Callithrix jacchus: one gene and its partners. The protein of the gene in region 4 interacts with the protein of the main gene of each other region in a biochemical or structural test. Links are inferred from orthologs where the notes say so. Each region holds a gene or a part of one and is shown on either strand. Other genes may lie near its edges. The genes, in order: SENP1, HIPK2, JUN, PML, RNF4, KLHL20 and EIF4E.

Evidence for each region.
Region 1: of the proteins of PML (region 4) and SENP1, one has a biochemical effect on the other in vitro, tested with the Homo sapiens proteins (2 studies listed by BioGRID). The link is inferred for Callithrix jacchus from reciprocal best matches to the Homo sapiens genes PML and SENP1.
Region 2: of the proteins of PML (region 4) and HIPK2, one has a biochemical effect on the other in vitro, tested with the Homo sapiens proteins (2 studies listed by BioGRID). The link is inferred for Callithrix jacchus from reciprocal best matches to the Homo sapiens genes PML and HIPK2.
Region 3: the proteins of PML (region 4) and JUN form a complex in vitro, tested with the Homo sapiens proteins (2 studies listed by BioGRID). The link is inferred for Callithrix jacchus from reciprocal best matches to the Homo sapiens genes PML and JUN.
Region 5: of the proteins of PML (region 4) and RNF4, one has a biochemical effect on the other in vitro, tested with the Homo sapiens proteins (3 studies listed by BioGRID, with this or other methods). The link is inferred for Callithrix jacchus from reciprocal best matches to the Homo sapiens genes PML and RNF4.
Region 6: the proteins of PML (region 4) and KLHL20 form a complex in vitro, tested with the Homo sapiens proteins (3 studies listed by BioGRID and IntAct, with this or other methods). The link is inferred for Callithrix jacchus from reciprocal best matches to the Homo sapiens genes PML and KLHL20.
Region 7: the proteins of PML (region 4) and EIF4E form a complex in vitro, tested with the Homo sapiens proteins (4 studies listed by BioGRID and IntAct). The link is inferred for Callithrix jacchus from reciprocal best matches to the Homo sapiens genes PML and EIF4E.

What each region holds. Positions count from the first base shown.
Region 1 is NC_133510.1:2,422,250-2,426,228, reverse strand, and holds the start of SENP1 (sentrin-specific protease 1), read left to right. Parts: upstream 1-1,179; 5' UTR 1,180-1,362; exon of another isoform or gene 1,363-1,586; intron 1,587-1,605; exon of another isoform or gene 1,606-2,305; coding exon of another isoform or gene 2,306-2,314; exon of another isoform or gene 2,315-2,474; intron 2,475-3,979. Other genes in the region: PFKM (ATP-dependent 6-phosphofructokinase, muscle type), read right to left, coding at 2,306-2,314. UniProt on the Homo sapiens protein: Protease that catalyzes two essential functions in the SUMO pathway.
Region 2 is NC_133512.1:107,576,291-107,580,524, reverse strand, and holds the start of HIPK2 (homeodomain-interacting protein kinase 2), read right to left. Parts: upstream 2,801-4,234; 5' UTR 2,453-2,800; coding exon of another isoform or gene 2,428-2,452; coding exon 2,409-2,427; intron 1-2,408.
Region 3 is NC_133508.1:95,863,949-95,868,243, forward strand, and holds the start of JUN (transcription factor Jun), read right to left. Parts: upstream 2,801-4,295; 5' UTR 1,830-2,800; coding exon 825-1,829; 3' UTR 1-824. Other genes in the region: uncharacterized protein LOC128928178, read left to right, coding at 4,071-4,072. UniProt on the Homo sapiens protein: Transcription factor that recognizes and binds to the AP-1 consensus motif 5'-TGA[GC]TCA-3'.
Region 4 is NC_133509.1:20,897,471-20,901,432, reverse strand, and holds the start of PML (protein PML), read right to left. Parts: upstream 2,801-3,962; 5' UTR 2,705-2,800; coding exon 2,570-2,704; intron 1-2,569.
Region 5 is NC_133504.1:190,644,863-190,647,717, forward strand, and holds the end of RNF4 (E3 ubiquitin-protein ligase RNF4), read right to left. Parts: intron 2,648-2,855; coding exon 2,498-2,647; 3' UTR 501-2,497; downstream 1-500. UniProt on the Homo sapiens protein: E3 ubiquitin-protein ligase which binds polysumoylated chains covalently attached to proteins and mediates 'Lys-6'-, 'Lys-11'-, 'Lys-48'- and 'Lys-63'-linked polyubiquitination of those substrates and their subsequent targeting to the proteasome for degradation.
Region 6 is NC_133519.1:29,281,905-29,285,404, forward strand, and holds part of KLHL20 (kelch-like protein 20), read right to left. Parts: intron 2,830-3,500; exon of another isoform or gene 2,723-2,829; intron 1,629-2,722; coding exon 1,495-1,628; intron 316-1,494; coding exon 107-315; intron 1-106. UniProt on the Homo sapiens protein: Substrate-specific adapter of a BCR (BTB-CUL3-RBX1) E3 ubiquitin-protein ligase complex involved in interferon response and anterograde Golgi to endosome transport.
Region 7 is NC_133504.1:98,561,735-98,565,726, reverse strand, and holds the start of EIF4E (eukaryotic translation initiation factor 4E), read right to left. Parts: upstream 2,801-3,992; 5' UTR 2,676-2,800; coding exon 2,373-2,675; intron 965-2,372; exon of another isoform or gene 949-964; coding exon of another isoform or gene 946-948; intron 620-945; coding exon 513-619; intron 1-512. UniProt on the Homo sapiens protein: Acts in the cytoplasm to initiate and regulate protein synthesis and is required in the nucleus for export of a subset of mRNAs from the nucleus to the cytoplasm which promotes processes such as RNA capping, processing and splicing.

The DNA of each region.
Region 1 (3,979 bases), on a different chromosome or scaffold from region 4:
TAGGCCTCAGGACTTGACAATACGTAAGTATCAACATATGGGGCGACACAATGTACTTTGAGATATTTGATAGGGCAGGAACTCAGCAAGCTGCTAAGAGTATTAGAAAGGCATGGGCCTCCAGAAACTGCCCTTCTTCAAGCCTGAGCTCAGACTGTGCCTGTGGCTGTGGTATGAGTGTAAAGGACCTACTGAGGGGGGATTTCTCTGAGACTTCTACAGGACCTGGGTCCAGAGGCCTGCCAAGCTGAGGTGTTTGACAAACAGTCTGAATGAGCAAACATATTTCTTCTCATTCTTTTTATTTTTTATTTTTGAGACGTTGTCTCGTTCTGTTGCACAGGCTGGAGTGCAATGGGCATTCTCGGCTCACCGCAACCTCCGTCTCCCGGGTTCTAGCAATTCTCCTGCCTCAGCCTCCCAAGTAGCTGGGAATACAGGTGCGTGCCACCAAGCCCGGCTAAGTTCCGTATTTTTTTTTTTTTTTTTTTGGAGACAGAGTCGTGATCTGTCGCCAGGCTGGAGTGAAGTGGCGCAATCTCGGCTCACTGCAACTCCACCTCCTGGGTTCAGGCAATTCTCCTGCCTCAGCCTCCCAAGTAGCTGGGACTACAGACGTGCGCCATCACGCCTAGCTAATTTTTGTATTTTTTAGTAGAGACCGGGTTTCACCACGTTGGTCAGGCTGGTCTTGAACCCTTGACCTCATGATTTGCCCGCCTCAGCCTCCCAAAGTGCTGGGATTACAGATGTGAACCACCGTGACTGACTTCTTCCCATTATTTTCTTTTAGAAAGTATGGCAGATTTCAGGTTAATCAATGAGACCTAGGAACAACCAAGCCCTTCAGAGGTCACAGGTGATTCCTGGTTCCTTCCCTATCTCTACCCAGAAAAGCAGATCTCTGGTGGACTCCCAGTAGCTTTCCTCACAGCCCTGCCTATGTTTCAAATCCCTCCAGAGTTCTGGAAGGTTCTACATCTTGCCAGAGCCTAACCTCATCCGTCCCCAAGCAGCTTTCTCTTTTTTGTATGCTGGTCCATCAAGCATGAGGTGGTGCAGAGCAGAACTGCCAGTTAAGAAACTTGCTTCCGAGTCTTAGATGCGACATGCATTTAAAACCCTTGGGAAATCACTTCTCTGAACCCGGTTAAGACCATAAACTATCTCCAATAACCTGTACAAGCGCTAACGTTCTGTGATTCTCAACAGCACACGAGATAGCCTGACATCGATTTAGATCTCAGGTCTCCATCTGTCGGGGGAAGCCACGGGTTTCCGCAGATCTGGGGCCGCAGCGAAAAGCTGCCATAGAAACTGGAACGCAAGCAAAACTCGCCGAGCGGAACCAGAAGGAGGCGGGTAAGGGAGCTGAGGGAACAGAGAAAAGCATAGGACGAAGGGCTCACTAACAGTATTCCGGGCGCGAGAAAGCGAAAAGGCCCAGACTGAAAAGGGAACTGAGAAATTACGACTCGTCTTAAATGCTCCCTTGACTTCTGGGGACTTGCCACACCGCGCAGGCGTCCCACTGGTCCTTAGCTCTGCTCTTTGACCTCCTGCCCCAACCCCCTTCCTCCGCAGCCACCGAACGGCTCTTCCGGTGCTGTGAAGGCGGTTCCGGTTCGCGGCGGTTCCCGGGTTTTGCGTTCCGCGCCCGGCCGGAAACCCCTTCGCATGGCAGCCGGTTCCGGTTCGGTGAGTGGCGGCGGGAAGCTGGGGGAGGGGTGAGGATGGAGGGAACCTGGGCCAGGAGGCTGTGTCGGACCCGGTCCGCCGGCCCGGACTGGACTGGGCGGAAGCGAGGAGCACTGTGGGGCCGGCGCCTTTACCTCTGCCCCGCCCCCTGGGACCACCTCCCCTCCCCCCTGCTGTCCGGTGGCCGTGCGGTGGCCGCCGGTGGCCGTTAGGCTACCTGAGGCCCTTCCTTGCGGTCCTCTCTCCCGGGCCGCGGAGAGGCCGTCTCCCAGCCGTTACAACAGGCCCATCCCCGCGCCCTGCCGTACTTGTGGGAAAAGGCCGGTTGGGATTCCGGGGCTTTCCCGCCAGAGCAGGGTCTTGCGTAGGGAGAGCTGCTTTCCCCGGGAAGCTCGGCCGTCTACGCTGCCGGCTTCACCTCCCGCCTTCCTTGAGACCTGAGTGGTATTTCCGGACTCCCCCTGCGCCCCACGTAAACATTTCTCCAACTCTCTTGCTCTGTGGTGTCTCCCTGAGCGGTGCTACCGCTGGTGCCACCAGCAGAAAGACACGGCCGGACCCTCCTGCTCAGGTTATGAAGATCCCCTTCACGGCCCCAGTGGCTTACCTGGCTCATCGCCTCCGGGTAATTCCCTGGAACCGGCCCCCTGGGTGCACCCGAACGTGGTCCTGGATATGCGCCTCGTTTCCCTTCCCTCGAGCTTGGGGATTTCTGTTTATCGGTGTCTGTGCAGTATTTCCACTATCTGGCTGGCATCACTTGCTCCTTTATCACTGTCAAGTCAGCCTCGTTAAAGTCATTTTACTTCGTCTTTGGTACACATTATACTTGGAGTGGTGGTGATTCTTGTAATATTCACATAAAGCCTTTTATCTACTACCAACGATTTCACTGAGGGTCTTTGTTGTAATGGGTTATTCTGGACGGATTAGAGCACATCGTCTCCTAAATCTTTATCGTTCATAAAAATAATTTGTGTTTCAACTCGTGTTGAAATACAGATTACCCTGACTTTGAAATTACAGTTACACTGAAACTTTAATCATCTCTTTAAGGATGATCCCTTAACCTACTTCCACTCTACAACCCCCCACCCGCCCCCTTTATTTTTCTTCTTTAGTACCTTTTAGGAAGTCTTATTCTTTTTTTTCTTTTTTTTTTTTGAGACAAAGTTTCGCTCTCGTTACCCAGGCTGCAGTGCAATGGCGCCATCTCGGCTCACCGCAACCTCCGCCTCCTGTGTTCAGGCAATTCTCTTGCCTCAGCCTCCTGAGTAGCTGGGATTACAGGCACGCGCCACCATGCCCAGCTAATTTTTTGTATTTTTAGTGGAGACGGGGTTTCACCGTGTTGACCAGGATGGTCTCGATCTCTTGACCTCGTGATCCACCCGCCTCGGCCTCCCAAAGTGCTGGGATTACAGGCTTGAGCCACCGCGCCCAGCCCAGGCTTATTCATTTTTAACTGACTTCAATTCATTACCCCAGTTGCAAAGACGGTCTTCGTATCACTCATCTAACGAGCTGTCTGGAGGGAGTAGATGGATGCAAAAACAGGTTCTGCTACTTCTGGCTAAGGGCATGCAGTTGTTGACTACGCCTTTGGAAATCTGTCTTTTTCTTCCGAACTTCTTCTTCTATCAATCGTACTAGCTCTGCTGTCTTGCTGTATCTGTTTACGGATCTGGCTTTCCCTACTAGACAGTGAGCTTCTCAGTGGCAGGGACGCTCTCTTAATCATTTTTGTATTCCCAGCACCCTGCACGTAGTTGGTGCACAGTAAATGAATATGTATGAAAAAATTTGAATACTTAGGGTTTACTGTGTTAGAGTGTTAAGGTGTTTAAGGTGTTAGAGTCTGATTGGGAGAGATTACATGTAAAGATAGAGGGGAAGAAATAACCTCAAGCACATGATGATACAGTACAACTGTTGTACACATAACTTTTTCAGAACTTGGAAAAGGGTGATTTCACGTGATTGCTTTCATACCCTTCTCATGTCATAAATTCTGCTCACCACATCTTGGTCTTGGATAAAGCTAACATTAGCTCAATATATATTTTCTAGTAACTTCATTTCAGCCCTGAACATTGTCTTTTATAATCCCCTTTGCATGTGTGTAAGACTGTAAATGTGTCACCGCAGTTGTCAAGCCTGATCTTTTTTGTTCTTTCAGATTTCCCTTCACCTTGTGTTCAGCTACTAACCCGACTTCATCTGAATGACTGTAACTGCTTATGTTCTTCCAGGAAATCAAATGACCAGTGTGTACGAGGAA
Region 2 (4,234 bases), on a different chromosome or scaffold from region 4:
ATTTAACATGCCCACAGGGAGTCCACGTGCTCTGATTGAGACAGGGGAAAAATCAGGTTCCCTGAACCCAGCGGATGTCACTACGGCGGGAGAAAGGAGGTCATCAGAGTCTTGGCACACTCATCGCAGTGAGTGAATGTGGGTCCTAGCAATCTAATCCTTGATTCTAGAGGTCACCTGTCTGTTCTGAGCATATCCAACAGTCTCTTTCAAAAACCCCCGGCCGTGGGCTTTCGGCAGAGTGATGTGGGCTAGTTGAGGTGGGGTGAGAAGGAAGATTAGAAAAAGAATGATAAAGGTGCACAGAGACACACCCGGAATAAAAGGGTGCACAGCGCAGGAATAATGAAGAGGGCACATGGACAAGATGGAGGGAAACCGAGGTCTGAAAAAGGCCACCACGGAGGTCACCTGAGACAGGGAAGGAAGGCTGGCAAATAAAAACAATTCATGAGACCTTTGAGATCCATGAGGATTCTTAAACATAACACCCTACACACCTGCAGTTCTTTATCTGGCTTAAGGAACTGGAGGAACAATGTAGCAGGAACCGGGAGAGGCCAAGTCTCAGCCTCCGGGGCACCGCCTACATTCCATATGGATTTAGAATGAAAGGGGCAGGAGAAGAACAGTGCGGTTCCCAAGATGGCTTTCCATAAAGTTGACAAAATACATCCCAACTCACATACCCGGTCCCTAGTAACAGGGAAACCAGCCGTCTACTATAGTTCTGAATTCAATGCCAAGTTCCTTCTCTCAACTCACCGAGAGTGTCCAGCAGAGGGAGTCTCAAGGAGGTACTTAATAAAGAGAAAATTGTTTCATTTTAACACTCTAGACAGTGGGAGCATTGACTGTAGCCCCCTCCTGTAGACGCAGATGAACAATGAATGGCCGACATGGGTTCTCCCACATGTTCACATGTCCACCGGCATGTTCTATTCTGAGTGGTGGAGTGATCAGAAATTTCGTTTTGTTTTGTCCAACGGTTAAATGGACCTTGTGTTCTTCAGAATCAAAGAGGAAAGCCCCTGGAATAACATCTCTCTGTTGCCTTCTAAACAGCCCCTTTGTTTCTAAGAGAGTCTGAAAAAAAATATTTACAGTCCATAGGTTATTTACAGCCTCGTTATCCAGGGCCTGACTGGTAACTTTATTCCGGCCAGAAATCTAATTCATTTGGAGCCCTGGAACTAATAACAGATTTTCTTTTCAGATAAGTTTTTTTTTTTTAATCAGCCTCTTATAACAGAGATAAAACTATTAATGCCTTCCCTGTCTCACTGGCCACAACTGTTCTCTGGATTTATAGGCGGATTACACTCCCCCCTCATGCCCTCCTCTGTGACACATAAACCCTGTACCCTCTCATTTGCGATTTCACCCCACAGAATATCCGAACAAAACCGAAAGAAAGCCAGGGGGACCCACGCTAAAAGTATGTGAAGGCTGCGATTTCAATGATTTCACGAGACAAACATTTGCACGATGAAACAACAGAAAAATCAGACACACAGGTTTAAAATTCCCCCTACTACAAGCACACAAAAACACATCGAAGTGTAAAAACTTAGTTGATTCTGGGTTGCTTTCTGGCTGGAAGCTGACAGAACGGACCGAAGAGAAACGAAACAGAGTGTGCGAGGCAGACCCACGGCTTCTCCGCCTCGCGTTCTTTTCTTTCTTCCTAAAGGCAGTCAAATGGGGGAAAACACCCCGACGCCAGGTGAAGGTGCACCACACAGGTCGACCCAGACTGAGCCAGAAAAACGTCTCCGCGGCTTCCCCGGCTGGAAAACCCAAAGTCCACGTACCCTTGCACACGCTAATGCGGGGAGATTTTCGCCTGTTTCATTGTTCTGCCTGGCTCTGACATGGACTTTTCATCCCTCTCCTCTCTCCCCACCTAGCCCCGCGCGTTCCGATTCCACGGCCCCCCCCCAAAATCGGAGGCTCGCGGAGAATAAAGGAGCGTGGGGTGGGCGCGGAGAGAAATGGGAAGGGGCGCGGGGCGGAGAGCGAAGTGGAAAGGAGGTGCTCCGAGAGGTAGCGTGGGGGGGCGGTGGAAGCTGAGCCGCAGCACCTTCATTTATCGCAAATAAATAAAAAGCACAGTCACGGGTCCGCCTTCCCTGGCGCCCCTGCCCTCCCCGGGCAGCCGCCCACCCTCGCACACGCCCCCTCCCTTCCCGCGCCCCCGGCCCCTCTCCCCGCCCTGGAAGCGGCCCCGCCGGCGCCGGGTCCCGGTCATCTTCCGGGCGCGGGAGGGGGTCGCGGCCCCCTCGGGCCCCGGGTGGGGGCTGGGGCGGGCGCCGGGGGCTGCGGGCGCGGGGCCGCGGGCAGAACAAAGCTGCGGGGGCCGCGGCGGGGCGGCGGGAGAGGGGTCGGCGGGGCCGGGCGCCCCTTACCTTCGTACACGGGGGCCATCGGGGCCGGGGTGTCCGCGGTTCATGGCAACGGGGACGGGAAAGCGGCGCGCGAGCTCGGCCCCCCCAGCCTCAGTCGGAATCTGCCATCTTGAGCCTGTGTCTCCGCTCTCGGCGCAGCCGAGGCCGCCCGCGCCCGCATCACCGCCTCCCGTGGCCGGCGCCGGGGGAGGGGGCCGGGCGCGCCGCCGCCGCCGCCGCCACCGCCGCTGCCGCCCGGGCCCGGCGCGGGGGGCTCGGGGCTCGGGGCTCGGGGCGGCCGGGCGGGCGGAGCGGCCGAGGCCGAGGCGCCGAGCGGCCGCGGCCCCCGAGCGGGTCCGCGGAGGGGCGGGAGCCGGGGGCAGCGCGCGGCCAGGGCCGGCGGGGCTCAGCTCAGCATGGCTGGGCGCGGGGGCTCCGCAAAAGTTGCTAACGGAGGGGGGCGGCGGGCGGGGGCGGGGCGCGGGGCCGGGAGAGCCACAGGGAGTCCGCGCGCAATCGAGCGCCGATGGCACGGATGCGAGGCGGGGAAGGCCGAGCCGAAGGGCAGAGCCGCGCCGGCGGCCGGAGGGGACCGCGCGGGGAGGGGCGGCCGCGCAGCGCGGAGGGACGGGGCGCGGGGCGGGCCCCGGGGAGCCGCTGGGGGGGCGGCCTGGGCCGGGCAGGCACACGGCTCCGAGCCCAGCGCAGCCAAGCCGGTCCGCAGAGGGGCCCCAGAACTTTGTGTGTGTGTGTGTGTGTGTGTGTGCACGTGTGTCTGTGCGCGCGCGCGCGTGTGTGTGCCAGGGTGCGAGGGTGCGCGCGTGCTGGCCCGGAGCGGAACCGACCCTAAGGAGAGCCCCCGGCTGCAAAGTGGTTCGCCCGTCTCGCAGCCCGTTGGTTCTCGCGGAGGTAGGAGTAGAATGAATGAAGGAAAGAGTGGGAGCGCGCCGTGCTCCCAGGGAGGGCGGGTGAGTGGACGAGCTTCGGAAAGCTACACGAGGTCAGAGGCACCAAGCCCTGCAGTGCACGCCGCGGAAAGGCAGCCCCCGGGGTGGTCGCCGGGTTCCTGCCGGAATCTGGCTTCCAAGACACCCTGATCTTCGCCTCGTCGCGTCTACACTGTCCCGAGCCCCACCCTCCCCGCACCCCATCACTTGAATGGGAGCTCACAACTGTCTGGGTCCTCGCTTGTCTCAGCGCTCTCTCCGATCAGGGCTTCCGCTAAACATTCTCCAAACTCTCCCCAGCTTGGAGCCTCTACAGGTTTGCCTCTCCAGCTGTCTCCCGTGTGCTTGGATAGGATGCCCTGCCATCCCCTCCAACTTAGGAAGACTTGTTGAGTCTCCTCTTAAGCTGTTTTTAAAACTGTGGGTCGTGACACATTAATAAATCATAAAATAAATGCAGCGGACGGCAACCGGCTTTAAAAAAGAATGAAATTGAATCCAATAGAAAATATTAGAATCCACTGCCCTTAGTAAGGGAAACTATTGTTTCATAAACCTTTTGTTTCAATTATAGGTACTGGACAAGTGTACTGGAGCATGATGTCAATTTTATTTCCAACTGTGGATCGTGGGTTTAACAAAGTTGAGAAGCTATCTTTTTAAGGTGTAAAATAATCATCTCTAACACTGTATGACTTTCTTAAATACAACCCGATGATTTTCTCACTACTTCATATCCTTTCCGTTCTCCATCCTCTATTCCCCCCCAAAAAGGCAAGCTGTTTCCCACTTCGTTAGTGGCACATCACAGCCCCTTCCTCTGTGTGATCTTGGACTCCGCCGTCTTCCTTGCCCCCCACAATCAATGCTACACTTCCTACCACTTCTCTCAACCTAATG
Region 3 (4,295 bases), on a different chromosome or scaffold from region 4:
GACATTCTTAACTTTCAACTCCACTTAGATAGCTAGTATCTATAGATGATGCAGAAAAGAGGTTAGGGGAGTACTTTTCAATAGTTTATTGCATTTTCTTAAATATCCTTTCTGGAATTTTCAGAAACAAAACATAAAAAAATTATATACTTTATTACAAATGGTAAACTCAGAGTGCTCCAAATCTCTTATTTACAAACAACACTGGGCAGGACACCCAAACAAACAAACAAGAAATAACTTACAAAGGCATGAAGCTGTTTATTGACAGTAATCAGCTTTCATCAAATTAAAAAAAATATATATGTACATACACAGTTAACGAAGGCAGGCCAGAAAGAGTTCATCTGCAGGCTCAGCCTCGCTCTCACAAACCTCCCTCCAGCCGCCCCTCCCCAACCCTCCCCCCCACGCTTTGTGTTCTTAAGGAGTACTACAGAAGCAATCTACAGTCTCTATTGCAGTTTGTAACCCCCTCCCCCTCCCCCCTTTAATACTGAATGAGATCGAATGTTAGGTCCATGCAGTTCTTGGTCAATGTTAACGAAAAGTCTAACGTTCCGTTCGCGCGGGGACAGCCCATCCGCAAAGCCGGGCAGCCCGCAGACGGCCGCTCCCTGGCTCCACGCCAAGGGAGTGCGCGCCAAGTCCTTCCCACTCGTGCACACTGGGGGCGCCGTCAGGACGCAACCCAGTCCAACTTGGATACCCTTGGCTTTAGTTCTCGGACACTTCTTTTTCCTCTCCGCTGCAACTTGTCAAGTTCTCAAGTCTGTCTCTGTTATTTTTTTCTCCGTTGCCCCTCAGTCCCCGACAGTCTCTCTTCAAAACGTTTGCAACTGCTGCGTTAGCATGAGTTGGCACCCACTGTTAACGTGGTTCATGACTTTCTGTTTAAGCTGTGCCACCTGTTCCCTGAGCATGTTGGCCGTGGACGCCAGCTCCGAGTTCTGAGCTTTCAAGGTTTTCACTTTTTCCTCCAGCCGGGCGATTCTCTCCAGCTTCCTTTTTCGGCACTTGGAGGCAGCGATGCGGTTCCTCATGCGCTTCCTCTCTGCCTTGATCCGCTCCTGGGACTCCATGTCGATGGGGGACAGGGGCGGCGTCTCGCCGGGCATCTCGGGCACTGTCTGAGGCTCCTCCTTCAGGGCCTGCAGTCGCGGGTGCTGCACCGGCATCTGCTGGGGCAAGTGGTGGGGCGGCTGCGGCGGCTGCTGCTGCTGCTGGGGTTGCGCGGGAAAGGCCAGGCCGGCCGCGCCGTAGGAGGGCGCCCCGCCGCCGCTGCTCAGCGCTCCGGGGTTGAAGTTGCTGAGGTTGGCGTAGACCGGCGGCTCGCTGTGCAGGCTGGCGCTGAAGCCGCCGCTGCCACTGCCCCCCGCCACCGAGGCCACCGCGGGAGCCACCATGCCCGCCCCGCTGACCGGCTGCGCCGCCGACGTGACGCTGGGATGTGTGTTCTGGCTGTGCAGCTCGGCCAGGGCGCGCACGAAACCCTCGGCGAAGCCCTCCTGCTCGTCTGTCACGTTCTTGGGGCACAAGAACTGGGTGGGGGTCGGCGTGGTGGTAATGTGCCCATTGCTGGACTGGATGATGAGGCGCTCCAGCTCGGGAGACGCCAGCTTGAGCAGCCCCACGTCGGGCGAGGTGAGGAGGTCCGAGTTCTTGGCGCGAAGGTGCGGCTTCAGGCTCCCCACTGGGTCGGCCAGGTTCAGGGTCATACTCTGTTTCAGGATCTTGGGGTTACTGTAGCCATAAGCTCCGCTCTCGGACTGGAGGAACGAGGCGTTGAGGGCATCGTCATAGAAGGTCGTTTCCATCTTTGCAGTCATAGAACAGTCCGTCACTTCACGTGAGGTTAGTTTGGGCTGCGCGCAGAAGTTTCGGGGCCGCAACAGCGCTCTGGCAAGCGGGGTACACCCGCGTCCCCCCGGGCCTTTGGCGGGGAAAGTTTCTCTAAGAGCGTGCGCGCCTGCTGGCAGTCGTCCCCGCTGCGCCCTACTCACCAACTCGCTCCTGGGAGCGCAGGGTTAATTAAGATGCCTCCCGCACTCTTACTTGTTGGCTCGCGCGCGCTGCCCGGCTTTGAAAAGTCGCGGTCACTCACTGAGCGATCTTCGGTCGCAGCGGTTCCTCGGAGCCCGCGGGCGAACTCACTTCCAGGAGCGGCGGTTCTCCCAGAGGCGCGGATCAGTGCGGACCCCGCAGTGGCCAGCCGGCGGCGGGTCTCGGCCGCCCGGACTCCGACGACTTGTCCCCTCCTCCGCTGCGAGGGGGAGGGGGCGCCCGGCAGCCGCGGCTTGCGCTCGCCCAAGTTCAGCAACCAGTGCGAGCGAAGCTGAGCGCACGTCCTTCTCTCGCGCGTCTCTCCAACGCCTTTTGGTCTTTACCGCCGTCGAGCAGCCTAAGGCGCAGGAAAGGCTTGCAAAAGTTCGCTCCGGGACTCTGGGCCACTTGGCCCGGGTCCTCCCAGCCGGGAAAGTTCTTTGCCGCTGCAGCCGCTCGCCGACGTCCCCCGGCGGGCGCGTGGGTACCGCTGCTCTCCGCCGCTGTCAGCAGCGCTTGGGCAGCGGGGTTCTTCTCCCGGGGGCGGCTGGAGACCAGGCTCTCCCCGCACTCCTCGAAACACCAGCCCCGGAGCCACAGGCGCTAGCTCTGGGCAGTTGGAGAGAAGATGGAAAAGAAAAGATTTGCAGCTCGGACTCTACTGCAGTCCTGGCTGTCTGGCTGTGTCTGTCTGTCTGCCTGAGACCGCGCACCTCCACTCCCGCCTTGCTGCTTCAGCCACACTCAGTGCAACTCTGAGCCCTTATCCAGCCCGAGCTCAACACTTATCTGCTACCAGTCAACCCCTAAAAATAGCCCATGATGTCACCCCAAGGCTTTCCCATTGGCTCGCGTCGCTCTCAGGGGGGCGGGCCCGCCCGTCGCCATGGAGACTCCACCCTAGAAGATTCTTCTCTAGGCCCGCGGAGGCTCACGGGATGAGGTAATGCTCCGTTGCCCTCCTACAGTCGGTCCCTTCTTTCTCCTCCCCTCCCCCTGCCGCACGCCTCTCGGCCCTCTCTTCCCTGGTCTCCTCCCCCGGCCGTTTTTGCTGGCCCGCCCGGTGCATTGTGGGCTGACGTCTTGGGGTTTGACTGTCTAGTGACGGTGGCTGCCGCGAGCGGGCGGACGCTCGCAACGTCTCTGGGGTGGGGGGGGGCGCTCAAGTTCACGGCTCCGGACAGGGATGCAGAGATGCAGGGGATAAGGGGACGCGGGAGGCCAGGGAACCCGGCCAGTTGTTGGGGGCCAAGGGTGCGGGCGAGGGGTGGTTGGGGTTTCTCCACTTGTGGGGCTCGAAGTCATCCGCCGGCGTCTGCCACCGCGCGGGGCAGGAGGCTGAGAATCCAAGTCTGTGGCCCCCCCCGCGCACTTCCGGGGGCGGGAGCACCGCCCTTAAGGTGGCTCTGTGAAGTCCCAGTTGGGGGCGAGCCTAAGGGCGCTTAAGTTTGGGGGCGGTCTCGCGAGAGTCGGCCCCCCAAGTTGAGAACGCTCGGAACTTTGTCTTGGTCTAGTTCAGGAGCGATGGTCCGCGGGGTCGTCTGGCTGCTCATAGAAGCCGAGAAATTTGTATTGCCCGAAACTGAACGCTCAGCTGAGTCTCCGTTGCACCTCTCTTCATCCTCCGGGGACGCGGGGGTTCATAGCTTTGCCTTGGAGGGGCAGTTTTTATAGTGAGAGCAATTAGTGGGTAACAGGGTCCAGATGGGAACAAGCATGTAGGCAATCCGAAACTTGGGGAAGCCCGGTGTTAGTATACTCCCCCTCCCGCCCCCGGACAACACGCACACGCTTAACACAGCACGCTCAACACACAGGCGCGCGCGCGCACACACACACACACACACACACACACTCCATCTGCGCCGTGTTGCTTCCGGGAAAACAAGCCCAGAAGGCGGCGGACGCTCGCATAAAGTCACGCAGTAGAACTCGGAGCCCGGGATAGAACCTGGACTTCAAATCTCTGCACTCCGGGCCGGGTTGTGGGCCCATATCCTGGGTAGCCTCTAGGAAGCGCTAGACACATGTAAGTGGTTCCTTTTCCGCGGTTGTTATTTTATCTCCCCACCACCCCCCCCGCCCCCACTCCTTAGGGACGAAAGTGTGTGGTGGAAAGAATCTTGAAGTCGGGAATCCTGGTTCTTTCGTGGCCAGGCTGCCACAGTGCGGAACGAGGAAATCATGGAACTTCTCTGAGCTTCATGTCCCTCATCTGCCGGTGGGGCCGATGCAGTATACCTCCCTGGGCT
Region 4 (3,962 bases):
TACTTTCATTTTCAGTAAATCTCTGCTTTCATTGCTTCATTCTTTCCTTGCTTTGCTGTGCATTTTGACCAGTTCTTTGTTCAAAACGCCAAGAACCTGAACAACTTGCAGTCAAGAGCCTCTACTGTGACAATTCCACTTATATGAAATATCTAAAATAGGTAAATTCACAGGGACAGAAGGCAGAACAGAAGTTTTCCAAGGGCTAAGGGAAGGGGGAAATGAGGAGCCATTGCTTTGCTGGGACTCAGGACACACCACTTCAAAATATGACTGCAGGAGGCCAGGATATGCCACCCCTGAAATATACTTCGTTGGCATATTTTAAGCTGGTTATTCTGAGGAACTTGCTGATGCAGGAATACCTCTGAAAAGCTTTCCTTTTGTAAAAAAGAAAGACATTTACATCTTAAAATCTACATTAGTAAAATGATCTATATTAGAAGAGGGTGGCTCCAGACATTTTTTATTTTCTAAGAATTTTTTTATTGTATTTTAGATTTTGGGGTACATGTGAAGAACATGCAAGATTTTTGCATAGGAACACACATGGCAGTGTGATTACAGGGAGGGGAGCATCACACACTGGGGTCTGTGGGGGGGGTGGAAATAGGGGAGGGACAGCGGGGTGTGGGAAGTTGGGGAGAGATAGCATGCGGAGAAATGCCAGATATAGGTGATGGGGAGGAAGGCAGCAAATCTAAGAACTTTTTATCTGCAGGCCGGGCACAGTGGCTCATGCCTGTAATCCCCGCACTTTGGGAGGCCGAGGCGGGTGGATCACAAGGTCAAGAGATCGAGACCATCCTGGTCAACATGGTGAAACCCCGTCTCTACTAAAAATACAAAAAATTAGCTGGATATGGTGGCGTGTGCCTGTAATCCCAGCTACTCAGGAGGCTGAGGCAGGAGAATTGCCTGAACCCAGGAGGCGGAGGATGCGGTGAGCTGAGATCGCACCATTGCACTCCAGCCTGGGTAACAAGAGCGAAACTCCGAAACTCCATCTCAAAAAAAAAAAAAAAAGAATTTTTATCTGCGTAACAAGACAACCTCTATTTACCAAGCAGCTCCTCCCCTCCCCCTCCCATAACTTATATCATCACCACCACCCAGAAGCTCCAAGCTCCTGTGGTTTCTGCAGCTCAGGATGTTACCTAGACTTCAGTCATCTGACCCTTCTTTGAGTCTCGTACTTCTGGGGACTCCTGCGTATACATAGGTAATTAAATATTGGTTTTTCCTTGTTAATCTTTTTTATGACCATTTAATTCATAGCCCAGCCAAGGAAACTAGAAGGGTGGAGGGAAGCCATTTTTTCCTCTCCTATGGTTTAAAGGGTACAGAGTTTCTGGAGTAATGAAAAAGCTCTGGAAATGGTGGTGATGGTTACACAATATTGTAAATTCTTACAGCCACTGAATTGTACACTTAGAAATGGTATACACAGAAACTTATGCATTAGGTATATTTTACCACAATTTTTAAAATACAAAAACAGCCAGGGTGTGGTGGCTCACACCTGTAATCCCAGCACTTTGGGAGGCCAAGAGGGGCAGATCACGAAGTCAGGTCAGAACCAGTCTGGCCAATATAGTGAAACCCCGTCTCTATTAAAAATACAAAACGTTAGCCGGGTATGGTGGTGCGCGCCTGTAATCCCAGCTACTTGGGAGGCTGAGGCAGGAGAATTGCTTGAACCCAGGAGGAGGAGGTTGCAGTGTGCAGAGATCATCCCGTTGCACTCCAGACCTGGCTACAGTGCTGGACTCCGTCTCAAAAAAACAAAAACAAACAAACAAAAACAAACTCAAAGTGCTTAATAACGTACCTGGCACATTCGAAGTGTTCATAAAAGTTAGCTAGCATTGTTAAGTAATACTAAGTTGTAATAATGCTAACAAAAGTTACTGTAATACGGTTTCCTCTGAGCTTTCACGAAGGGGAGCGACAGGGCCTGGAAGGCAGCAGAGGGAGAAACCCAAGTAGTTCCTTTGGGAGTGGGGGTGGGAGGTGGGCAGGAAAGACCTGCCAAGAGAAGGGTTCAAGAGGCTTCCGTAAGCAGAAAGCACATAAGCTGGGAGGCCTTGGCAAAGATACCTCTTCAGTGTGGGCCACAGTGTCTCCCCTCGGATCTGCGAAGTCGGTTTTAGTTTTGCTGTGATGGGACATGCTCCTGGCTCCAGACCTGCGCAACAGGGCTACTACCTCCATCCTCCCTAATCTGTGGTCCGGCATCTGAGGCAACAGGGTCGAGGCAGGGCTCCAGGGTGGGCGTGAGGGCCCAGTCCCGGAGGCCACAGACCCTTCTTGCCCAACTACTCAGTGGAGAACCGCAACCCAGCGAGACCCCCCCGCCAACTCCTCCGGGTCCCCTTTTCTACTCTATCCTATCCTCCCTTCCCTGCCCCAGCCGAGAGGGGCAGACCCCAGTGTCTGGTCTTCCTGCTTTGTGTCACTCTCTAGGGTACTTGACCCAAGTCCTTCGTTAGAACCTCTCTCTTCCGCCCTCTCCCCACCACAGCAAACCAACAAAGCCTAACCCCATCGTTCCCTAACCCAATAGTACCTCTGCAGGGCTGTGGCTGGGGCTGGGCTGGCGGCCTTCAGAGGGGGTGTCGGGGGGAGGCATGGTGGGCGCGTGGGGCCGGGCGGTGTCCTGCTGGGGCCCCGGAGATCGGGCGGGTGCAGGCTCCTGCTGCATGGACCCCAGCTTAGTTTCGATTCTCGGTTTAGATCTTGGAGGGCGGGAGGAGAAGCTGAAAGGGAGACGTGAGCCAGATGGCAGATCCCCTAGAGCGGTCCGAAAGGGGAGGTGCCAGTTCAGGGCCCGCCTCTGGAGAGGAAGTGAGACAGGAGCTGGGGGCGGTTCTAGGGGCTGAGAGGCAGATTGGGGGTTTTAAAGACACGCCCAGAGCGGGGAGAGGGGAGAGGCTGGGGAGCCGCTTACCCACACCTGACTTATGGTAAAGCGGGAAAGGCGGGGAGGAGCTGCAGGGGGCAGCCTCGCCCCCGGCTTTGATCCATTCATCAGTTCACACTGGCACTGCCTCTTGCCACCTCCTGCTGGGAGCTGGGCGCAAAGAGATGAGCCACGCATGGCCCCTGCTTTCAAAGAGCCCTAGATGTAATGGAAGAGCAAGCCTGCAAACGGAGACATTCTGGAAAGGAGAGCCCTGAACTGGGACCCGAAAAAGCAGTGGGAATTCCCCAGGGATTCAGGGTTGTAGGTGGTGGGGTACAGGGGACACTTGAAACAGAAGGGATAGGCTGGGTACGGTGGCTGACGCCTGTAATCTCAGCACTTTGGGAGGCTGAGGTAGGCAGATCCCCTGAGGCCAGGAGTTCGAGACCAGCCTCGCCAACATGGAGAAACCCCATCTCTACTAAAAATAAAAGATTAGTCGGGTGTGGTGGCACATGCCTATAGTCCCAGCTACTCGGGAAACTGAGGCAGGAGAGTCGCTGGAGCCCAGGAGGTGGAGGTTGCAGTGAACTGAGATTGCATCACTGCACTCCAGGCTGTGCAACAGACTGAGACTCCATCTCAAAAAAAAAAAAAAAAAAAAAAAAAAAGAAAGAAAGAAAAGAAAAAGAAACAGAAACAGAAAGGAAAGCTCCTGCAAAACGCATGGAAGTTTGAAACACAAACGCCTGTTTGGGAACTAGTTTTGGTCATTTTCAGATTTAAGAGAGAATTCATGAGAAATGATGCCCAAGGAGTGTTCTGAGACAAGATCCTAGCTAAGGAGATTGGACCAGGTCCGTGAGTGATGGGAAGTTGGTGAGGGATTTGGAACCAGGGAACAGCACAATCAGCTGTGCATGCTGGGACAGTCATTCTGACAACCTAGGGGCAAGAGGCCTGTGGACAGTGGCTGTGGGATGCAAAGGAGGGACTTGAGCCAAAGACCCTGGAAAGCCAGTGCCTGGAGGTCAGGGAGCAGGGTGATGCCTTGAGT
Region 5 (2,855 bases), on a different chromosome or scaffold from region 4:
AGGCAAAGGGACAGATTGGCCACACTGCCAAGTCCAATGCCTCCTTGTGGTTTTGCTGGCACTGCTCACCTGTGGCAGTGACTGGTGCATCTACATACTCCGAGCGCTGACTCCCACTCAGAGGGCAAATTCTGTATCTGGGTGACCAGGGGCAAAGGGGGGCACTGCAGTGCAAGGTCTCCAGGGCAATCTTAGCCCATCCCACTCAGAGCAGCACCCCCAGCACCTCTGAGAGGCTGGCCAAGCTGGGCAGACAGCTTCTCGGTCAGCCGTGCCTCTCAGAGTCGACTCTGCTCTCTTAGGGACTCCAGGCTTGGGCTTGTGGCTCTGTTCTCAGAATAGCCTTTCACATGCTTGCTGGATTTAGGACGGACAAACTTCATGAACGCACAGCGATGTGAAATATACTCAATGCAAGGCAGATAAGAACCCCACACCTTGGCAAAAAGGGGGGAAACAGACTCTTAATTCCAAAGAGAAAATGAATGTGTGAAAGATACTTGGTTCAAATTAATGGTTTTATTTCCATCTTTAACACTAGCAGAGGAGTCCAAAACAGATTGATATCCATGGATATAGTTTAAATGTAACAAAGAAAAAGCTGAACTATGTACACTGAAAAAAGGAGAGACATTTTCATACCAACCTTTTCCTGGTTTGCAGTTTCTCAATAGTAGAAACCAAACACATTAAAATTTTTTTTTACCAATTTAATTTAGGACGAAGTAACACAACTTTTATTATCAACCACTTGAGTTATCTTTAAGGATAAAACTTAAAGAAATTTAAAAATGGGTATTAACCATATTTTATTAGTGGACTGGCTCCAAGGTTGCCTTGCTCCAAGTCTGGGCATCACGACGTTGCCATGACACCCAGAAGAAAGTTAATGGCAATGATGTCCAGTCAGAGGGCAGACACGCTAAACATCATGACAGTGAGAGCTGAGCCTCCTGCCCTCTTCAACTCCAGGTAGAAAACTATGATTTTCATTCAAACTAACTGAGCCAAACAGTTAAAAAGTCAGAATGAAGAATAAAACTCTTTTCTTTTCACATAGAGGAGGGACACTCCTTCAGCCCCATTTAAAGTGAGTTCTGTGCTGAGTCCCTGCTCCTTCAGAAGGGTAAACTGAAGGTCAGTTATTGCTAACAAAGCCAGAAGTGGCCCCTTTCCCACTCTGAAGCTGTTTCACTGAAAAGGCCGTTGGTTTGGCTTGAAGCCCTCGGAGGAAGGAGGAGTGAGGAAGAGGAGGCAGGCTGGCACTCTAAGGCCTCTCTCATTAGCCACCCCCAGGCCCTGTGCTGTCAGGGGCACTCTGCTGCCCCTTGAGAGAACCCGAGGCTCCCACACCTGTGGAGTGAAGGAGAGGTTGTCATCTGGGTTCCTGTGGGGGGACAAGCCACTGTGTTTGCCAATCAAAACCTATGGAGTAGTCAAAAGCCCAAAGGATCCAAGCCCAACTGTGCAGAGGAGCAGTTTCTGAAGTAAATGCCACTGGGTTGGGAAGGAGGAGGAAGCCAAGTCAGGTGGGCCAGGTTCTCTGAAACGTGGGGCAACAGTGACTGGGGCAAAAGCCTGGAACCGAGCGGCTGCTAAGGCCACGGTCACAATTACTGCCACCACCTCTCAGCACCTATGCGGGGGCAGACATGAGGCAGTGGGAACTGAGGACTGGAGGGTGTGTGGTGAACACAGGATGGATTTTATCAGAAAGGAGAGGACACCCACACAAGTGCCTGCCCTATTTGACTTGCATGTCCTGTGCCAGGTGAAGGACACTGGAGCGTGGGTACGGTTCCTGAGAACAGCTGGTGGGCAGAAAGGGGCTGGGATGGGCACTGCTCCGCAAGCAACATTAGGCCTCTGAGGGTGTGCTAACAGTGCTACATCTTGAGGGCTGCTGAAAAGTAGGTAAAGAATAGCCTTTATTGCACTTTTTCCTTCTTAGAAAACGGGGGATTGCCCTGCAGTTTCTCTTTTTGCAGAAATCACTGCAGATCAATGGTAAGGTGCGGGCAGAATCACGGTGACCTCAAGGGGCCACTCTTGCACCTGGGATCCTCGAGCTGCGTGAACCAGGTCTGGCTTGGTCAATGTGTGGGCAGGCAGACTGGTCAACCGGCAGACACTTGGGACAAAAGGTGGGGTGCCTGGGAGAGCTGGGGCAAACTTTCCAAACAGGGAAAACTTCTTGGCAACTGTGCACGTTCTCCAAGCAGACTAGAACCACAGTTCCCAATTACAATGTGCCTGACTCCTCCCTTTCTCCTAGCCCAGAGGAACAGAGATGAACTGGGAGGGTCCTGGGCCCAGTGCCGTAGCATCAAACTGGAGATAACAAAAGGAAGGGGCTGGAAACAAAAGAGGGGTTTACATCTCGGACGTTGGTTTCAAAACAGTCTTTCTGAGCTCAGGAAAATGGAGGCAGATAGATACCACTGGAGAACCTGGCTGGCTGGCTGTCCATCCGTCTCTCCTGAGCACTCTGAACACCTCAGATATAAATGGGGTGGTACCGTTTGTGGTTGATCTTTTTCCTACAAGTTGGGCAAGTATTAGCATTCCTCAGGGAATCACGGAGGCACTGGCTACAGAAGACATGGCCGCATTCTGTGGAAACGATGAGACGTCCATTCTGCACAATCTAGAAGGCATTATAAGAAGAGGCTCTGAGTTTGCCCTTGCCCCAGAGCAGCCACTGTCCCCAGAAAATCCCACCCCTGTCTATGCCTAAGATGACCAGTTAGAGGAAAGAGCGAGCCAGGCTGCAGCAGCAACAGGGAGGGGCTCTGGAGAGCGAACTGTACCTGGAGCTGGAGAGCAGGAGGCAGGGGCTGTGGCATCTCAACAGT
Region 6 (3,500 bases), on a different chromosome or scaffold from region 4:
AGCCAAGATTTGGAAGCAACTTAAGTTTTTGTTTTGATTTTTGTTTCTGAGAAGGATTTGTATACCTCTGGACAGTATGACATATACTCTCATCAACTCCACTTACTCCACTACGGCGTGATGTCATGGCTACCACCGGAGACCACTGGTTGGTTCTGGGGTTGTATCTCTCGGCACTGCTCAGCTCTGTAGTGTCATCTCTACCTCCTACAGCATAGATCATGTCCTGATATACTGCACAGCCTAGGTGTTTCCTCCGGGTCCCCATAGGGGCTATAGTGTGCCATCTGTTTTCCTGAGGGTTGTAGCGCTCCACTGTACAGAAAAGAAAAACCAGTAAGTGAGCATTCAACCATTTCCTCTCACCTCCAGTTTTCTTTATAGCCATTGATACTTAGTGATAACACATATTTTCAACACATGATCCACATGATCTGATTTTTGTTTCTGAGAAGGATTTGTATACCTCTGGACAGTATGACATATACTCTCATTAGGGGCTGGTTTCTTCTAGGTATAGTACAGTGGAAAGGGCATGTGTTGGGGTTCAGATACTCCAGGTTCTAGTTTTGACTAAATGAATAATTAGCTACATGACTCTCGGCCTCACTCTCCTTGTTTTTAAGTGGGGAGATTGACTACATGATCAATAAATACTAATAATTCATCATCATAATCAGAAAACTTCTGTATCCTGTATTCCCTTCCCTCTAGCATAGTGCATTTTAAGCCTCTGAAGTGAAGACGTGACAATTAATCTGGCATGACTGTCACACTAACAATATCCTTAGGCAAATATACCCATAATATCTAAATAGAAAGGAATAACAAACCAGGCCAGGTGCAGTGGCTCAAGCTTATAATTCCAGCACTTTGGGGGGATGAGGTGGGCAGACTGCTTGAGCTCAGGAGGTTAAGTCCAGCCTGGGCAACATGGCAAAACCCCATCTCCACTAAAAATACAAAAATCAGCCAGGCGTGGTGGCACACACCTGTAATCCCAGCTACTCAGGAGGCTGAGGTGGGAGGATCGCTTGAGCCTCTGAGGTAGAGGTTGCAGTGAGCCAAGATCGTGCCACTGCACTCCAGCCTGGGTGACAGAGTGAGACCCTGTCATAAAAAAACAAAAACAACAAAATCCAAATAAACTGATTTGTAGTTCTAAGTTTTTATTTATTCTTAGATTATAACAGAGTATTTTTTTTTTTAGGAGAAGTTGTGATGGTAAAAGGAACTAATTATATAAGAAAGTAGTTTTTAAAATTCATTATAAATTTCCAGCAGCTTGTAAAACAGGAACAAAGAAATATCTGGGGAATATACTCAGACTATGACTACAGTAGGAGCTGAGGAAGAACTGAGAGCTGCACTCTCCTGGAGGGAAAATAAAGCATTTTCCTAGGAAAACCTGGAGTTTTTATACTTTTTGTAGGAGGACTCTCCAGGAAAATGTTCTGCTTTTGGGGAACCTAATTGCCTTTGGAAAGAACTAACCTGTGTTGAGTGGAGATGTCCCGTCAGAGCCACCTACAGCATATAAGAACCCTCCTAACACAGCCACAGCCACACCTAGTCTTCTGGTACTCATAGAAGCTACCCGAGTCCACTTGTTCTCCTTTGGATCATACCTGTAGTGAGGGAAACCAGACTGTATGCTTGTTCTTATTAAGTGAAACCTTTTTCATACGATCTGAAATTACACTAATAGCCATTAGAAAAAAGTCACAATTATGTCTGTGCCAGTTATTAAGCTATTTTCTACTCAGACTTGGAAAATGTCCCCAGGGAAAAAAACAACCTGTCACAGCTCACATACACAGGCTCTTTAATGAAATTTTAGTTCATTTTTACATGCCTCTGATGTCTTTTAAAATATGATTTTTGTAATTTGTCGTCTTTTTCTAGTTGTTATAGTTGGAGTGATGGCTATTATTCTCTACTACATCCTGTTTGGAAGTAGAAGTATTTTGCACAGTTCTTTAAAACAACATTTTTATTATAAAATAAAACTGTAAAATAAAAATACAGAAAGCCACACACACAAAAATGTATAGTTTAGAGTTATAATCAGGAAAACCCCCTAGAAACCACCACCCAAGCCAAGAAAAAGAACTTTGCATGCCACTCTGGAAGTCCTGCAATGTGTCCTTTTCCAATCTCAATCTTCTCTTTCCCACAAAGTAACCATTATCCTGACTTTTAACAGTTATCATTTCCTTGTGTTTATATACTCATTAGCATTTAATTTTTAAAATTATAAATTAATATTTATTTATTTAATAATAGGTCAATCTGTGTTGACCAGGCTAATCTCAAACTCCTGGCCTCAAGCAATCCTCTCCCCTTGGCCCCCCGAAAGTGCTGGGATTACAGGTGAGTCACTGTGCCTGGCTGAGACAAAAAAAAAAAAAAAAAAAAAGCTTAAGTGCAGTGGCTCACACCTGTAATCCCCGCACTTTGGAAGGCTGAGACTGGAGGACTGTTTGAGGCCAGGAGTTTGAGTTTAAGACCAGCTTGGTCAACACAGAGAGACCTTATCTCTATGAAAGATTTGGGGAAAAAAAATTAGCCAAGCATGGTGGCGTTCACCTGCATTTCCATCTACTTGGGAGGCTGAGGCAGGGGGACTGCTTCAGACAGTTGTGAGCTACAATTGTACCACTGCACTCCAGCCTGGGCGACAGAGTGAGACCCTATCTCTAAAAAAAACATACTTAAATTAGTGCTCCCTTTGGCAGTACATATACCAAAATTGGAACAATACAGAGAAGATTAGCATGGCCCCTGTGCAAGGATGACACGCAGCTTCGTGAAGCATTCCATATTTTTTAAAAAAATTAAAAAAAAAAAACAACTTAAAAAGTTTATTATTATCTACAGGGTTTCCCTCCATTCCTTTTCCTCCCTGCAATTCATCTGTTTTAGAACCCGGAGTGTATAACAAATTTCCCCATAATATGGATGTGGTTGACTATACATTCATAATGCAGTGCAATTCTGTTCCTCTGTCCTTTGTATGTTCTGCAAATTGGTAGCTGGATCCAGAAGTTTGGTTCCTTTGACAAGAGTACAGAGGGTGGTGTGTTAGCAGCTGTTTATCAATGTCTAGATACAATAATTTACTAAGTATTGCAAAATGATAATATTCTACCACTTATTTTCTTTAATTGGGATAATTTTATAAAGAAACAATCATTTTATCTACTATTTACTTATTCAATTCATATGACACAGTTCATATAAAGGCAGGACATATGCTCACTTCTTTCACTTTATTTACAAGTTTTAAGATAATAAATTTGATCCCTATGATCTTCTGAAGGCAAATAATTAGAGTCTTAAAAATTTTTCTTTTGTTCTTAGATCTGTCAGACATCCAATTGCTTCTTTCTGATTTCTCCTGAAGATTCATGCAGGTCTTGTGGCCAGTGGTAGTTTCTCTTTGCCCATTTGTGTTTTGGAGTTTGTGAGAATATCCTTTCCCTTAGTTTTGTCTTAAA
Region 7 (3,992 bases), on a different chromosome or scaffold from region 4:
AAGCACCCGGCACCATGCCCAGCTAATTTTTGTACTTTTAGTAGAGAAGACATTTCACCATGTTAGCCAAGCTCGTCTCAAACTCCCAACCCTCAGGTGATCCACCTGCCTTGGCTTCCCAAAGTGCTGGGATTACAGGTGTGAGCCACCATATCCAGCGACCACCACTCTTAGTTTGCATATCCATCCTTCATAGGCATTCTTCTTCAACAAAAGCCCCCTATATGATGCTAGTATCCCAGGTCTTTGTCCTGAGTAAAGTTCACTTCTCCTTAAAGGAACTTACTTAATAATGTGGCTTCTATTACGTCCAATATACTGAAGAATTTCAAACTAATCTCTCACCTAGTTTGTTTTGAGCTCAAGACTCACACATAAAACTGTCTGCTAGTCATGGATCATCCAAGCGAAAAATAGAACCCTCAACCTTAGCATATCTAAAACTAGCCTCATAATCTAACTTTCCCTTACCTGTGGCCTAACTCAGAAAACCTAGGTGTCAGAAAGCTTACCTGTTCTGCAGAGGATGTTTAATATAGTGTTCTGGATTAGCGACCTCCTGATTAGATTCTGGTTTTTCCTCTTCTGTAGCCGGGGGATTAGGAGTAGGGGTGGTTTCCTAGTATAAAATATAAAACATTATTTTAAATTTCTTAACACACCTATGATAGGAATATTCTAATTAAACCTGAACTGACATGCTGATAATATTTTTTAAGAAGAAGTAATTAGAGCAGATTGCTTCATTAAACAGACCATAGACCAACCTCTAAAGAACCATTCTCTATTCTTGTATCTCTTCATTAAGAGCAAAGGGTTTCTCAAACTGGAAAATATAATAGTATCTATGGTTATCCTTCCACTTATACTTTTTTTTTAATAGCAGGAAGACTGTCACAGATTATGCAACAAAGTTAGGAAAATCTGCTATCTTTCTTAACATACCATCTCATTAAGATACTGTATATGGTATTGAAGGTGATATCAGGATGGATAGAGGATTGAAACTAAAGTTTCAAGAGTGTAATAACTTATCACTGAGCACTGTGGTGCATGCCTATAATCTCAGCTACTCAGGAGACTGAAATAGGAGGATTGCTTGAGCCCAGAAGTTTGATACCAGCCTGGGCAACACAGCAAGACCCTGTCAAAGAAACAAACAAAACTATATTATGATGACAAAATAAGCTTTGTAAAGTGATCAAGCCAATGATATGCCAGTCTTGCCTTCATGGCATACTGTTTACCCTATGGTAACCTAAAAGTTCGGCAACTTAACATTTTCAATGGACTCTAAGATGATGGACATTGGTTTGAACTTAAATCTTCTTTTAGGCTAGGCATAATTAACATTGTCATCTAGAAATATCAGTAAGAAAAGAAGAATAGTAATTTAAAATAGGTGTTCACCACATTCTTCCATGTAGCTCTTCACACTACAATAAATTGTTGTCACCAGAACAAGACATCCATAGAAAGGCATTAGGACAAAGACTGATACAAAAAAAAAGGGGCAATGCAACAAGTGTCTGGATATCAGATTTACTGAAGCAGCAAACAAAAGTTAGAGATATATGTTAACACAACAAGATATGTAGTCAAATATTTATTATCCAAAAGACCTGAGAGTAGATAGCTAAATTCTCTTAAATTTACTCATAAGCTCAAAATCCTCACTATAAACCATACTTTTGCAACACTTATTTAAACCTTTTACCTCAGCAGCACATAAATAGTGAATTACAATATGATTAATTACAAGTTTCATAGAGTCCAAAACATCATTTTAAAACTAATTTAGTTCTTTCTCTTCTTTTCTATTATTCCATTCTTTTCATTCTTGAGGAAATGATGGAATACTAACATGGTAATCAAATCTTTGGACATACAGAAACTAAAAGTAGATAATCACTCAGGAAAAACATTCAGTTCCTAAAATTTTAAAAGTGTTATTTTGAATTAGAAGTCCCATTTTAAGTAATTGATACTATAGTCTTCATATTAAGAACACATTATTTTGTACTTTTCCAACAACTTTAAAAAGCTACACATTTTTAAACAAAAAAAAGCTATACATTTTTAAATGTGTGTATGTACAAATCAATAAGTATACTAATTTAAACTCTCTAATCTTCACTTTTAATTATATAGATTGATTATGAAACAAATGCTCTATAATACCATAAGAATTTTTAATGGCCACAGCCATCTTTTCATATCATCTATTTGGGAACTAAAAAATACTTCCAGAAACAAGTTCTATTTTAAGATGTATAATCTTATTTTTAAGGTTGCTTCCTATAGACACTTAAAAAGTTTTAAGTTTACATTCAATTTAATAACAAAACTCGGCTGGGCGAGGTGGCTCACACCTGTAATCCCAGTACTTTCGGAGGTCCAATACTTTTGCTCACGCCTGTAATCCCAGTACTTTGGGAGGCTGAGGTGGGTGGATGACTTGAGGTTAGGAGATCAAGACCAGAGTGGCGAACCTGCTGAAACCCCATCTCTACTAAAAATAAAAACATTAGCCAGGCATGGTGGCAGGCAACTGTAATCCCAGCTACTCGGGAGGCTGAGGCAGGAGAATCGCTTGAACCCGGGAGGCAAAGGTTGCAGTGAGCCAAGATCAAGCCATTGCACTCCAGCCTAGGGGACAAGAGCAAGACTTCCATCTCAAAAATAAAATAAAATAAAAATACTGCAAAGTCCTACCATATTCCCCTCTCTGCTCTCTCAGGCTGGTGTTCTCTCAGTGAGAAAATTTCACTGGAAAATACATCCTAAATGACCAACCTCAGGTTCTATTGGGGAATTAAAAAAAAAAAAAAGTAAAAAAAATTAAATGACCAATATTTCTAGGTTTATAAACTACCTGAACAAAAAAGTAAACGCTAATTTAGCAGATTATGGCTAACTCAAAGTAATCGAACACATTTTTAAACTAAAATAGACAATCTTCCCTTGAAAAAGCATTGTGTAACATACTTTAGGTGAGTAGAACAGAGTGTAAGAGTGAGGCCATGGATGGTGCTGTGTTCCTCCAGATAGTAACCAGTGTGGCTGAAAGACAAAGTTTATGAAAGGGAAGAGCTAGAATGATAGGTTGGAGTGAGACTGTTAAAGGCCTCAGGTCAGGCTAAAAGTGTACCTTTCATCTTGGGGGCAATGAAAGACATTAACTAGAAGGTCAAAGAGATTAAATCCAAATGGCAAGAAAACAAAAGATCACCAATTTAAGAGCAAAGTATTAAACCTGGTTTTAGATTTGCTGAGTTCATCAGCTTCAAATAAAAATGTTTAGTATTAAAATTTAGCAAACCCAGGGCTGAATAAACTGTCATAGCAACAAAAGAAAGTTGAAAGGGAAGAAAAAAGACAAGCAAGGGTGAGAAAACCCTAACAATTAGCTGCCAAGAATGTCAGGTAGCTTTTTACTACATTCTGCAAAACTAGCACAGGTGTAATATTAATCTTATGGGACAATCCTAATTTATAGAGGCAAATATTTCCCAGGTCTAACATCATTCTGTGGTGTTTTCAATAAATCTGACTAAATTTTAGATTCTCCTCACCATGTTCAAATCTACATTGCTTAAATTCCAAAACCATGATGTGCTTTTCCACGGTTTTGAACATTCAAGATTTCTCACAGCAATTCTCAACCCAAATACACATAAAAAACACCTATTTACTCATAGGAATTTCCAAAATTTTTTTTCCAGGTTAAGACAGATCTCCCCACGCCATATTTGAAGTACGTAATCATCATTAATCCCCCTGGGCACTAATAATAGTTTGAACCAGTAACTCAAAGTACAGTCCACAGACTATCTACAGACTGCTACTGCTGGTCCACAAACTGGTCATGGTTGACAGTGAGGTTAAGTATAGAAATGCAAAGTAAACACTTAGAAAATCTGTAGCAATTTGACAATTTTATATCCGCTGAAACTAATCAAATTCAGGCTTACATTTTGTATGTATGTCTT